Drosophila melanogaster: one gene and its partners. The protein of the gene in region 3 purifies or fractionates together with the protein of the main gene of each other region. This does not show direct contact. Each region holds a gene or a part of one and is shown on either strand. Other genes may lie near its edges.

Region 1 (3,271 bases), on a different chromosome or scaffold from region 3:
AGCATAGATCATTGGCAGAGCTTACTTAGTTAGATGGTTTTGGCAATAAAATGGCTAAAATGGCAACACTAATCAGGGCGGAGGTTAAAAAGCATATATAGGGAGGGGGCTGGCTAAACTACCAAACGGAAAATCACATTAAAATTAAATTCAACATAAAAATCGAACGAAATCGCACATGCAAACGGGTTTGGCTCATTTACGATATTATATTTTTTTCCATCCACGCAACGGGTTTGCGGCGGGTGAACTACTTTGGGACACCTTTTTGTGGTCTCTTCAATCTGGCTTATTAGCGTCGGACTCAAGGGGAATGGAGGGAGGGAGGGGGGGGGGGGGGGTTTGTGCCGCACAAAGCCCAAAAAAAAGGGGGAAAAAAACTAAGGGGGTTCCACTAATTAACATTCAATTTAACACATTATACACCGGAGCAACCATTTTTCTTGTTTCAACCGCAGAAATGGGCCGGCGCACAAAAAGAGATCCATTTGGCCTCGTTCGAGACACTCGCCCAGATTGATGGCCCCCACAGAACGTCGTGTTTCGAAAAACGGAGCCCCACTCGCACTTTCTAAAAACCCATAAACACACAAAACCCATCAGTGGAGACCGACAGAAGATGGCCTTGAGAACAGACGCCGGCCGCCAGAGTTACGAGTTCCCCAGCGGTCTTTACATAATAAGTAACAACTTTTACTTGCTGCCACATCTCGAGCGTCTTTCCACTGTCCGTGAACTTGAAATGCAGCACAGCCAGAAATTTACAATTCAATAAATTTTTAGCAAGACCTTTGCAATTTTTGAATTAATATTCAAATCCATCAAACGTATTGATTCTCTTGCAACATTGTAGCATAGAAACATAAAGAGTAATTTTTTAAGATTATCTATGTATCATATTCGCAAGGTGGGTAACCTATTGACGATTTATAGCCCGTTCACATATGATTCGCCTGTGATTCGCCTGTGTCAATAATTAAAATCCATTTTTATATCGATTTCATTTATGATCACGTTGATGAATTATCTTCAAGTGTAAAAAAGGCAGGAAATGTCAAGCATGACGATGCCAAGCAAAATGTGATGGAAATTTCAGAGTTCATTGGTGATAACTTAACTTAACCATGGCCATTCTGAGAACTGCAAACAGTTATCCTTTTCAACAAGAGGTAATTAATGTTGGAAAATAGTAATTAATATTTATATATTAAGTACATTCATATTTCAACTTATAAATAAAATAAAGTTTCGATCTGGAATTGTTAGTATTAATTTTTTAACTTAAAACATACATTTTCCGAAAAAAGAAAATATACACAATAAAAACTATATTTCATAAAAATGATAAAAAAACATGCATAGTTAAAAGTTAATATTTATATGTTTATGTTTAATGCAAAATTGATTACTTGAGGCACGACGTGCGGTCATCTGCACCTAAGAATCGATGTCGACAATATCTACTCTAGATATTTATATATTCGAGTCTAGAGTTCCCATCTGCAAGGACATGACAAAGCTCTGGCAACCCTTTTAGCACGTGTCAAAAACTCAAAAAAAAAAGACGATGACTTTGCAGTCTAAAAGTCACATTTCTGATTTGGCGTGAGGACCTCAGTTGATTCACATCTCCAAGCGAATATTACTTAATATTATATTAATTAATATATTAATTTGTAAAGCACAGCATTTTCAAGGTGAGCATTTCAAGAGAATTCTTTTCCACGCACTTTACCCATACAAGTTAATAGGTTTTCCTAACGAAACAATGGATTTCAAGAAGCTGAAGAAAATGGAGGAGGTGGTGCGCATCGGCGGCAAAGGATCTATGCGCCGCAAGCATAAGAGATTCCCATCCTCGGCTGCGGCCGAGAAGCGCGTGCAAGCCACATTGGCCATGTTGCCGTTGAAGAATATCGACGAAATCGAGGAGGTGACCATCGAGTTCACCAATTCCAGTAAGGTTGTGTTAACCATGCCCAGGGTTCAGAGCACCGCTGGCAATTCTTTCTTCGTGGTTAGTGGCGATTTCGTGCGCAAGTCGTCAACAGCTGGCCCATCGAAAGTGGCCAAGGCAGCCAATGCGCCCAAGGCACCCATGCCACCTAAGCCACCCAAGCCGGAAGCTTTTTCCGACAAAAAGCCAGAATCAGAGGAGTCCATTAAGGTGGCCAAGAAGCCCAAGAAGCCGCGCAATCGTGTTCGTCCTCGCAACAAGAAGGTCCAAATGATGCTCTCCAAAAACAAAGAGGACGCAGCCATGGCTGGCTGGGATTCGGAGCCGAAGCTTAGCAATGGTAAACCAATTTTGATCTCCTCTGAAGATGGCAGCGATCCGGATAATGAGAAGGTGCCATCGGATGAGTCTGATGTGGATCGGACCATAGTCTGCGACAAAGATTCGCTGGGAAGCTTCGGCGATGATTCCGACGGCAAGGAGGACGTTGACACTACGGAGTCGATCTACCTGTCCTCCTACTCCAATTACTATTATTTGACGGAGCAGCTCTATCCAAATACTTATCGCGTTCAGGTCTCAGAGGACGAAGATTAGGCATATTCATTTGTTGCTACATTTGTACCAATTTCAAAAATAAATCGTATGAATTGAGAAAGTTGAGACAGAAAAAGGTTCCATATTCTATAGATTTGTACTTTAATCTCTTGGTGTTTATTGAAAGCATTGGTTTTCTCTACACTTATGGAAATTTTAATGATCTATAGTTCCAAAATAAAAAAAAGTTATAAATTTAAGATTATATTAGACTCTGTGGCTCTCAGTTATTTGTCTTAGTAAATATAGCCGCCGTTCGACGCGTACTGGGTCTCCTGGACGGATTTGGAGTAGCTGGCCTGCAAATGGGCAGGAGTAATGGTGTCGGCACCAATGGCCACGGGCACATGGGTATCGGGATTGAACTCCTCGATGCCATTCGATGTGGGTTCCTCGTACAGATGGGCAGGTGTGATCGTGTTCGCTCCAATGACGACTGGGGTTTGTCCCTGGACATAGGCGGCGATGGGTTGGGCGCTCTGGTAGGAACTGCTAGACGATCCGGCCACGATTGTCTTGGCCTGGCTATTAACGTAGCTCGTCTGGGAAACGGCGGATTGATAGGAACTGGAATCTGCCCCAGAAATAGCAGAGGCAGCGGTTGAGGCTACAACCGACTTTTTGAGTTGAGCTGGAGTGTATTCAGCGGGCTGGTAAGAGCTCGAATCTCCTCCGGGAACAGCCGCTCCCTGCTCTTGCTCTTGCTCCTGAATGTAC
Region 2 (6,025 bases), 7.4 Mb from region 3:
AGAAATCGCCTGCTCTGCGGATCTTCCCGAGTGCCTGGAATACACACGTCGCCTGGCTAAGGAGCATATAATCGATAAAATTTATTTTAAAGATGGATCAGACTACCATGCCATAATCGATTCCGTGTTATGCATGGGAGTTCGGTATCTAAGCGATCAGGACTTCCAAAGGATAATTGATATGATGCAGGAAATAGATCGAGCTTCGGTATACTATGATGACATTATATATGCCCTCCGGTGCACGCAGAGTCATCGGCATCTGTTATACTATCTGGAAGGTCTGATGGGTGAAAACTCCACCCATATGGTCCTTTCCGAATTCGAAGATTTGATGTATCTCCTCTACATATACAAGTCGAATCTGGCCTCTCGTCCGGTCATCTGGCAGTATATCGAGCGCAACTACAAGGTGCTCTGTCGAGCACCAAACTTTTTAGAGCACTTTAAACAGCTCGCTGGATTTGTGCCCAGACATCAGAGATCACATGTAATGAGTTTATATCTATTTCATATCCTACTCGTTTTGTTCACACATATCTCTTTTCAGTTTGAGAGGCTACGCCAGACAATTGCGAACCACATGATGCAGGAGGGTCTTAATACGAACCAAACGCTGATCGAGGTCGATTCTCCGCTGGTGGGCAAAAAGATGAAAATCACCGAAAATTTCCAGGACAAGTTCGAGCAGCAGATCCACAAATGGCTGCTCAATGAGCTTCCTCAGGCGACCAGCAGAAGTGATGCCCTTTTGTCCGCCTCCCTCAGCGCGGCCAATGGGTCAAGTCGTCCTCAAGGAGTCCTAAAGGAGGCGACTAGGGTGTTGCGCAGTGCGTTACGAATAGTAGATATGTATAGGTGACCAGACATTTGGTCTAACTAGGTATCACATAAGTACAGGCTTAATTACGAATAAATTAATTTTTTTCAAAACAAAACAATCGAGTCAATTCATTCAACAGCCAAGAGCTTTTCAACACATTCTAAATTAACTACAGACGTTATCGATTTGTCTGAAACGCCTCCGTGGGGAATTGATAAGCAAGTATAAAACACAAAAGTCATCGATAATAAAAACCCGATCAAATGACTATAACTTTTTTACGCAAAGACTAGTAATTATTTCTGGGTATTTCTGGCCATTAAAAAGCAATTTGAAAAATTTATAACAATTTTGGACATTCAATAAGTCGTATAAAAATATACAAAACTGAACAAAGCCATTACTTAAGTTTGTTAGTTTTTGTACAATGATTACTGAATATTAAAGCATACAAATTTGATATATTTAAAATGTAGCACCTCGTAAAATTAATTGATACTTATTAGCGTTTTTCACGAGTATTTATGACTGTTTTGATTATAGCACTATAACAACTTGCATTTTTTCGTACTTTCAAATACTTAGTCGTCCCAGACGAAGCCATAATTCAAAAATTTACTGCTCCTAATGATGAAACTAATAATAGGAATTTGATTAACAAAAAAGTAATGTTATCCTGCTTTATTTTGATAAGCGTTACGCTACTGAATAATTAAAATGTTACCGAGGGGATTTTTTACACTATAGAGTACCATCTTCAAAACTCTCGTAGACTAATTGTTTTACAGCCCAATCATACTTCACATTTGACTTGTCCCAGTGCACTCTGGGCCAATAACCGTGGCTTTGCCACGTTTTATCGAGAATTGCGCAACAATCTTTATGGCGATCGATGTTGAGGATTAGATATGGCCAAGTCCATAAAAATGCCGTGTTCAAGCGGCGGCCGCTCAATAACAAAGTGTCTTTTACCGAGCAGCCAACATGGCACGGTGGCTGCTTAACTCGTTTTCGCTGATCCTGCTCCTGGCAGTGTGCAGCCTACAGGCGCGCCTGATCCTTCCCTTATCCCTGGACGATGGACAGCTGGAGACCAAGGGAGCAGCCCTCTTTGCCACCTCCCGCGTGGATGATAATAGTGCCGGCAATTACCGACTGCCAAATACAACGGAACCGGAGTCCTACAACGTGGAACTCTGGACCAATGTCCATAATGGCGATACCGAATTCAATGGCACCGTCAATATCGATATCCGGGTTTTGAACGAGACATCGAATATTACGCTTCACTATCGCCAGACGTCGAATTTTGAAGCGACGATTATCAGCCGGGATGTGGCCACGCCCACGGCAATTCCACTCACTGTAACCCCCGAGTTGCAGCGCGAATTCCTCGTCCTTACGCAGACCACCGCTGGTGAGGCATTTGGAGCCAACACCAACTGGACCATCACCATCAACTACACTGGCATCCACCGATCTGATATGGGCGGTTTCTATATCTCCAGTTATACGGACGATGATGGCGAACAGCAGTAAGTTGATATTTTACGAAGACTATACAAAATAATACCATTATTTTATTATGAGCTTGCACAGCCTTTACCCTTTTACCTTTATAGAAAATTATACTTAGGTTAGCCTTCTAATGGATGAGGGAATAAATTGCAAAAGTACAAAAGCTTATCGTGCTATTAATTACAATTGTACCTGATTGAGTACTTGCGGCTAGTTTCATTTCTTATCAAGAGACACAATTTGGCTTATCTTTATAATCTGTTATTAGTACGATGATACGCGCTTACCAAATAAAGATTAATTATCGGTTTAACTGAGTCGTTAATGTATATAACAATTTCTTTCAGCTTCTTGGCCACCACGCAATTCGAGAGCACAAACGCCCGTCACGCGTTTCCCTGTTACGATGAGCCTGCCCGTAGAGCTAACTTTACGATTACCATCCACCATGATCCCTCCTACACTGCCATCAGCAATATGCCAGTAAACACCGCTGCCACCAGGTATGATTTACGAATATATATACAAGCATAGAGGAAACATTACTCATTCGCAGTGTTGACAATGCTAGATACAATTGCAATCGATACTTTTCATGTAAGAAATGCTAACATACTGACGGTTTCGCCTTCCAGCTCGGGAGTCACTGCTTTCCAGACGACGCCAAAGATGTCCACCTACCTGGTGGCCTTCATCGTCTCCGATTTTGAGTCCACCACCGGAGAACTGAATGGCATCCGCCAGCGGGTTTTCTCGCGCAAGGGAAAGCAGGATCAGCAGGAATGGGCCCTTTGGTCCGGATTGCTTGTGGAGTCCAGTCTGGCTAGCTACTTTGGGGTTCCCTTCGCCCTGCCCAAGCTAGATCAAGCTGGAATACCGGACTTCTCTGCCGGTGCCATGGAGAACTGGGGTCTGGCCACCTATCGTGAGCAGTACATGTGGTGGAACAAGCAGAACTCCACGATCAACCTGAAGACGAACATTGCCAATATTATTGGACACGAGTACGCGCACATGTGGTTCGGCGATTTGGTATCTATCAAATGGTGGACCTATCTGTGGCTCAAGGAGGGCTTTGCTACTCTCTTCTCGTACGAATCGAACGACATTGCTTTCCCACTGTGGGACACCTATCAGATCTTCCACGTGAACGACTACAACAGCGCTCTGCTTAACGACGCCCTGGCCTCGGCCGTTCCCATGACGCACTACGTTCAGACACCATCGGAGATCTCCAACAGGTATAACACCTTCTCGTACGCCAAGCCCGCCAGTGTTCTGTACATGTTCAAGAACGCTTGGACGGACAAGGTATTCCGCACTGGATTGAACAAATACCTGACCAAGAAGTGAGTACCAAGCCATTACTTAAATGACCTAATATATGAACTTCTAATGTATAGAGTATAGAATTTTGATTAATCAAAAGATCTAAAATATTTCAAGAACTTAAAAAGCTAACTTTATGATATACTCGTATATACTGGGCTTAAGAGCCCTCATTTTAATTTGAACAGTAATCTCACATTGGAATTATTTTGTTTCGCTCAGCCAATATACATCTTGCGACGAATGGGATCTATTTGCGTCCTTCCAGGAATCGGCCGACGAGCTGGGCTTTACGCTGCCCGCCAGTGTGGACGACATCTTCAGTAGCTGGTCCCACCAGGCTGGTTATCCCCTGCTCACAGTGACCCGTAATTACAATGCCGGCACTATAACGATCACCCAGAAGCGTTATGTGGCGAACAAAACTGATACAAATAGCGCAACTTGGTATGTGCCACTTAACTTTGCCACTGCCAACAAGTACGATTATCGTGACACGAGCGCCACACATTACTTGCTAAATGTGACGGAGACCGTGATCTCAGATGTCGAGGCTTCCAGCGATGACTGGATAATCGTGAATATCCAGAACTCCGGCTATTACCGCACCCTGTACGATACGCAGAACTATGGTCTAATTACGGCAGCTCTGAAGTCTCAGCCCTGGAGGTTCCATCCTCGTAACAGGGCACAACTGCTGTACGATACGTACATCTTTGTCAGCACCGATCGCCTGAGCCACAGCATCCTGCTGGAGCTGCTGGGTTACCTGACTAATGAGCAGCAGTATGCTCCTTGGTCCACTGCCAACACTATTCTGACCGTCTACGATCGTTACTTGCGTGGCGATGATTCTTACTACAACTTCCAAGATTTCGTGAAGCGCCTGATCGATCCCATCTTCGATAAAATCGGTGTAAACGAGATTCCCGGCGAGCATTATCTGAACAACTATCTGCGCATCGTGCTGGTCAGCTTGGCCTGCCAGGTGGGATCCGATGATTGCTATAACCAGTCGGCCAATAAATTATCCGAGTACCTATACAATGGCACAGCCATTGAGGCCACTCTAAAGACTCAAGCCTACTGTGCTGGTCTCCGATCGACTACCAATGAAATCTATAGCAGAGTGCAGTCCGATTTGCTCAGTTCCTCAGATTCCACCGATCGCAGCCTGTTCATCTCCTCGTTGGGCTGCTCTGGAAGTACGAGCCAGCTGCTTGATTTCTTGAGACTATCCCTGGACACCAACAATAGCTTGAGCTACTCGGAGCGCACTTCCCTTCTAAACTCGGCCTATTCCCGCAGTGAAATCGGTCTTACCGCTAGTTTGGAATTCCTGGAGAGCAACTGGGAGGCATATGCCAACCTTTCAGACTCTGCAAAGCCCCTGGATGCTGCCCTGCGTGGCATTGCCACCTATGTGGTCAGTGAGAAGCAAAAGACGAGGGTACGTTTTTTTTTTTTAATTTATAATTCAAAGCAGACTTTTAATTTACTATTTATTAATTATATGACAGCTTAACGCTTTGGTGGATGTTGTGGAGGCTGATGGACCGAGTTATATCAATGATGATCTGAGCACCACCATTGACTCCAGAATCACATCCAACTTCGCTTGGTTGGAAGTTAATCGTGATCCAGTGCTCAACTGGATCGAGGATTCCTTAAAAGAGAACGGCAGTCCCTCTCTGACCTCATCCATCACCACGATCCTGGTCAGTGCGATGGCTCTGTTGCTATTCAGGCTATATTAAGATAACTCACGTGGTCAAGTATTAAACATAAATTCAGTAAAGTGACGTAAATCAACAATAAAGATTGTGTGCTCATCATAGATCGAAAATAGAACTGATTATACTGTGGAATTTTCGGGCTGAATGGAGTCCCCTGGTGAGAAAAGTTCAAAGTTCCGCGGTTGGGAAACTTAACTGATCGGTTTATAGCTTGGTTGACACACATTTGCATTGGTCAATCTAATCGCGATTCTAGGAATGGCATCGATAAAGCACTGATAGTTGAGCTTAGTACGAAATTCGATTATCAAGTGGATATTTACAATGGCCTGAATGGTTTATGAAGTTCACGTGATCATATCAGATTGTGATTGGCAACTTTCAAGAACAATAAGCCATTTTATGGTTTTCAGTTTCTTAATCAATTTCAATGGTTTTACCATTTATTAGAAGATGTCTAGCTGTTGCATAGTATCGCACATATTGCTTAGTAATTCCGTATGGATTAATGGGCCTTTTCTTATCTCAAGAGCGAACTTGAACAGTCTATTATACCATAATAGTTAACAGGCGTGTATATTTCGCTATCATATCAGCACATATGATAAGTACACGAGAA
Region 3 (3,741 bases):
GCGCCAGTTATAAGGTTTCCAGCGCCGGGATCCAGTTTAACCAGGAGCTCCAAGAAGACGACGCCACTGCAGCAGCCCAAGAAAACGCCGCAGATGGCCGAAATAGCGCGGATGGATAAATTCATGAACTCGCGCAACGAAAGTAGACGATTCCCACCAACTTTAACCTACGATCTGGGCCATGACGAGCTTTTAAGCCAACTTACTTTCTCTTCGGCCATACAAAACGTAAACAAATGCAACAGGTGGTTATCGATAAAGTTCGGTTCGGGCACAGCTGATGTTGGTCTATCGAAAGTGGTTGAAATTCAAATATTCCAAGCGAAAAAGAAAAAATTTATGATTTTAAGAGAAGAATATTTTATTTAATGTACATTACATTCAAAACCAAACTTAAATATGTTGCCTAATCACATTCGAAATATTCGCACCAACAGTCTTTTACAACAATTACAAAATACAATGATGACAATGCTAAGAAAGAAATTACAGATTAGCAAATTAATGGTATATTACTTATTTTTCCTTTTCCAGCAAGGCAATAATTTTGTTTAACTTTTCCGTCTGCTGGGCCTCGAAGTTGTCCAGTCTCTTAGACACTAACAGCGTCAGCTTCTCAAATCTCATGTCGATGTGCTCCTTGAGGATTGCAACATCGGTGGAAGGCGGTGCAGTCTCTTGGGTTTGGTCCTTCGCCTGCGGGGAATAGCCCTTCATCAGGCTCATGAACTGCTCGAACTTTTCGGCCTGCTCCTCCTTCTTCAAGGGACTCGTGCCACCCCTTTGCAGCAGCTCTTGGATTCGCTGCGCATCCATTGGCCTGGGCAACTGGGTGGTTATGCCGTTGGGATTCGGCGCCACCTGGAGCAGGGCTCCGTAAACGCAGATCTCGCTGGCCGAGGTGAGCATCTTCAGGTTTATGTCATTTATCCCGGATCGGTCGATTTCCATGTCATAGCGATAGGGTCGCACCGCAACCTCTGGGTCCTCATCGTCGACGCAAGTGCCGTAGATGGTCTCGCAGTACTCCTGCAAGGGTCCAATGAACAGCTCCACCTTGGGAGCGCTGCAAATCAGGGTGAGCGCGGCGATTTTGAAGCGGTTCGGGATCTGGAAGCGCAGCTCACAAGGCGGCGGCGGATCCGCCGACTGCATGGAAAACAGCACGGCGCGATTCTCGTCGATCACGTCGTCCAAGTCGGGCCTGCGGACAAAGGAGGTTTCAAAATTACTTGATAAAAACCAGTTTCGGGGCGTGGAATCCTTTGTCTCACTTCACAAAGACGTCTTCGTCGGACAAGCGGGTGGCCACCAGTTGGTCCAGCCCGTTGCCCGACAGCTGGGGCCAAGTGCAGCGCGCGGTGACCTTTTCGCACATGCTTTAAGTGACAAAAAGTTGGAATTTATGGGAGCAAAATTTAAAAACAGCCAAATTTAAAAACCAAAACACGAATATAGTGATGACAAACGCGAGCGATAACATCTGCGCGGGGGATGCCAACCTGTTGCACAGCGCAAACTAATTGGACATTTGAAGGTAGCTTGACGCGCTATTCCAATAAGACCATACTCCGGAGTCCAATCAGAGAAGGCACCGCATCTGCGCACTACGTTTTTCCAACAGAACGGCAATATCGCGGCCTGACAGCTGCGACCTTGGACGGCTCCCTTGTAGGTCAAACTTCAGCAGAATTCCCACATATTGCAGTCGCAGCAAGGCGGCAGCTTAAGAACGAGTACACAATTATCCGCAGAGTGATCAACGCAGCTAAAATGGGCGGCAAGTACAAGATCGTGATGGTGCGCCACGGCGAGTCCGAGTGGAACCAGAAGAATCAGTTCTGCGGCTGGTACGACGCCAACCTCAGCGAAAAGGGTGAGTGATTACATCAATTTGAAATTTAAACCTCATATGTGGGATTAAAAATCTGATGTACATCTAGTTTCCAATCGATGATCCTTTGCTTTGATCAGTTTCACAATAGTATTCCTTTTCATTTACCCAAATTAATCTTCATTGACCTAGTGCAACATTATCTCATTCAAACTTTTCTGTGATAAAAATAGGTCTCTACAAACAAAAGCTTTCCAGTGCAATTTTCAGAAGCATCAAAATTCTAGTTTGTTACACTTTAAAGTCAAAAATTTGCCATCTCATATGTTTCTAAAGTTCAGATTATGCTTATGAGCATAATTTGATAGGTTATCGCCTTTTTTTAACCCTAGTAATCAAATTAAATTAAACGCATGCCTTTCAATTAGATTAAATTGGCTTACGTTCGTTACCCAACACGGCGTATACTTAATGTTCGCTAAACATTTGCCCAAACAGGTCAGGAGGAGGCCCTAGCCGCCGGCAAGGCCGTCAAGGATGCCGGCCTGGAGTTCGATGTGGCCCACACCTCGGTGCTGACCCGCGCCCAGGTGACGCTGGCCAGCATCCTGAAGGCCAGTGGCCACAAGGAGATCCCCATCCAGAAGACTTGGCGCCTGAACGAGCGCCACTACGGTGGACTCACTGGCCTGAACAAGGCCGAGACCGCCGCCAAGTACGGCGAGGCCCAGGTGCAGATCTGGCGTCGCAGCTTCGACACCCCGCCACCACCGATGGAGCCGGGCCATCCGTACTACGAGAACATCGTCAAGGATCCCCGCTACGCCGAGGGTCCCAAGCCCGAGGAGTTCCCCCAGTTCGAGTCCCTCAAGCTGACCATCGAACGCACACTGCCCTACTGGAACGACGTCATCATTCCCCAGATGAAGGAGGGCAAGCGCATCCTGATCGCTGCCCACGGCAACAGCCTCCGTGGCATCGTCAAGCATTTAGACAGTGAGCATGGGAGACATAACATATATCATATCATCTTTTTACCATATCCTTGTCCAATCCAGACCTTTCTGAGGACGCCATCATGGCCCTAAATCTGCCCACGGGCATTCCGTTCGTCTACGAGCTGGACGAGAACTTCAAGCCGGTGGTGTCCATGCAGTTCCTCGGCGACGAGGAGACCGTGAAGAAGGCCATCGAGGCTGTGGCCGCCCAGGGCAAGGCCAAGTAAGCACGCAGGCCACACCTCATGAGAATCCACTCAAATACGGCACAAGTCAGAGCATTCTGATTACGCTTCTGTTCAAGATGTAGCCAATCCCATTCGTTGTTGTTGTTCGCGTAGCAGTAATTGGTTCATCCCCACTACAGTTAATAAATAATTTATTATTACACTCAAGAGGACAGGCGGAGGAGGCTTCATTTATTGTCCGGCTCACTTCTTCTTATTCTTCTTGCCGTCCTTGGCCAATTCCAGGCCCAGGATGCACTTGGGCGGCACCTTGTACGTTTCCGTGAGCAGCGTGTGCACAAATCGCACCTGGTTGCCCTGGATTTGCAGCTGCTCGTGCTTTTGGTGCGGCAGTTTCACCACACTGGTGCTGGCGGCGGCTCCCTGCTTGCACAGCTTGATGAACTCGGCCAGGATGATGCCGTACGCCTCGATGTTGCTGACCAGCGTCACCTTCTTGTTGCCCGATCGCGTGGCCAGGGACATCTGGATGAGGGGCTTCCCGCTCGTATCTTTGCCGCTGCACATCTGGTAGGAGTGCTCCATCTTGCTGGTGATGAGGGAGCACATCTCGCTTAGCGAAACCTCTCTGTTACCATACAGCTCGATCAGAGTGTCGTCGGGGCGCACCAGCTTGGTCAGCGGATGGAGGAGACCATGTTTGCTCACGTACTCCCGCACA

What was found. Proteins that work in one complex are often made in the same cells at the same time.
Region 1: the proteins of Pglym78 (region 3) and betaNACtes1 purify together in Drosophila melanogaster (affinity purification with mass spectrometry, with the first as the bait; one large-scale study listed by BioGRID). This does not show direct contact.
Region 2: the proteins of Pglym78 (region 3) and CG31343 purify together in Drosophila melanogaster (affinity purification with mass spectrometry, with the first as the bait; one large-scale study listed by BioGRID). This does not show direct contact.

The regions. Positions count from the first base shown.
Region 1 is NC_004354.4:14,170,968-14,174,238, reverse strand, and holds betaNACtes1 (Nascent-associated complex beta-subunit-like, testis 1), read left to right. Parts: upstream 1-1,614; 5' UTR 1,615-1,697; intron 1,698-1,751; 5' UTR 1,752-1,768; coding exon 1,769-2,554; 3' UTR 2,555-2,752; downstream 2,753-3,271. Other genes in the region: CG12480 (uncharacterized protein), read right to left, coding at 2,791-3,271.
Region 2 is NT_033777.3:21,743,498-21,749,522, forward strand, and holds CG31343 (uncharacterized protein), read left to right. Parts: upstream 1-1,768; 5' UTR 1,769-1,807; coding exon 1,808-2,358; intron 2,359-2,688; coding exon 2,689-2,844; intron 2,845-2,976; coding exon 2,977-3,690; intron 3,691-3,892; coding exon 3,893-5,120; intron 5,121-5,190; coding exon 5,191-5,427; 3' UTR 5,428-5,506; downstream 5,507-6,025. Other genes in the region: CG5849 (uncharacterized protein), read left to right, coding at 1-490, 551-862.
Region 3 is NT_033777.3:29,146,677-29,150,417, forward strand, and holds Pglym78 (phosphoglyceromutase 78), read left to right. Parts: upstream 1-1,571; 5' UTR 1,572-1,773; coding exon 1,774-1,876; intron 1,877-2,332; coding exon 2,333-2,830; intron 2,831-2,892; coding exon 2,893-3,059; 3' UTR 3,060-3,225; downstream 3,226-3,741. Other genes in the region: CG14511 (uncharacterized protein), read right to left, coding at 1-125; CG11882 (uncharacterized protein), read right to left, coding at 517-1,204, 1,275-1,378; eIF2D (eukaryotic translation initiation factor 2D), read right to left, coding at 3,264-3,741.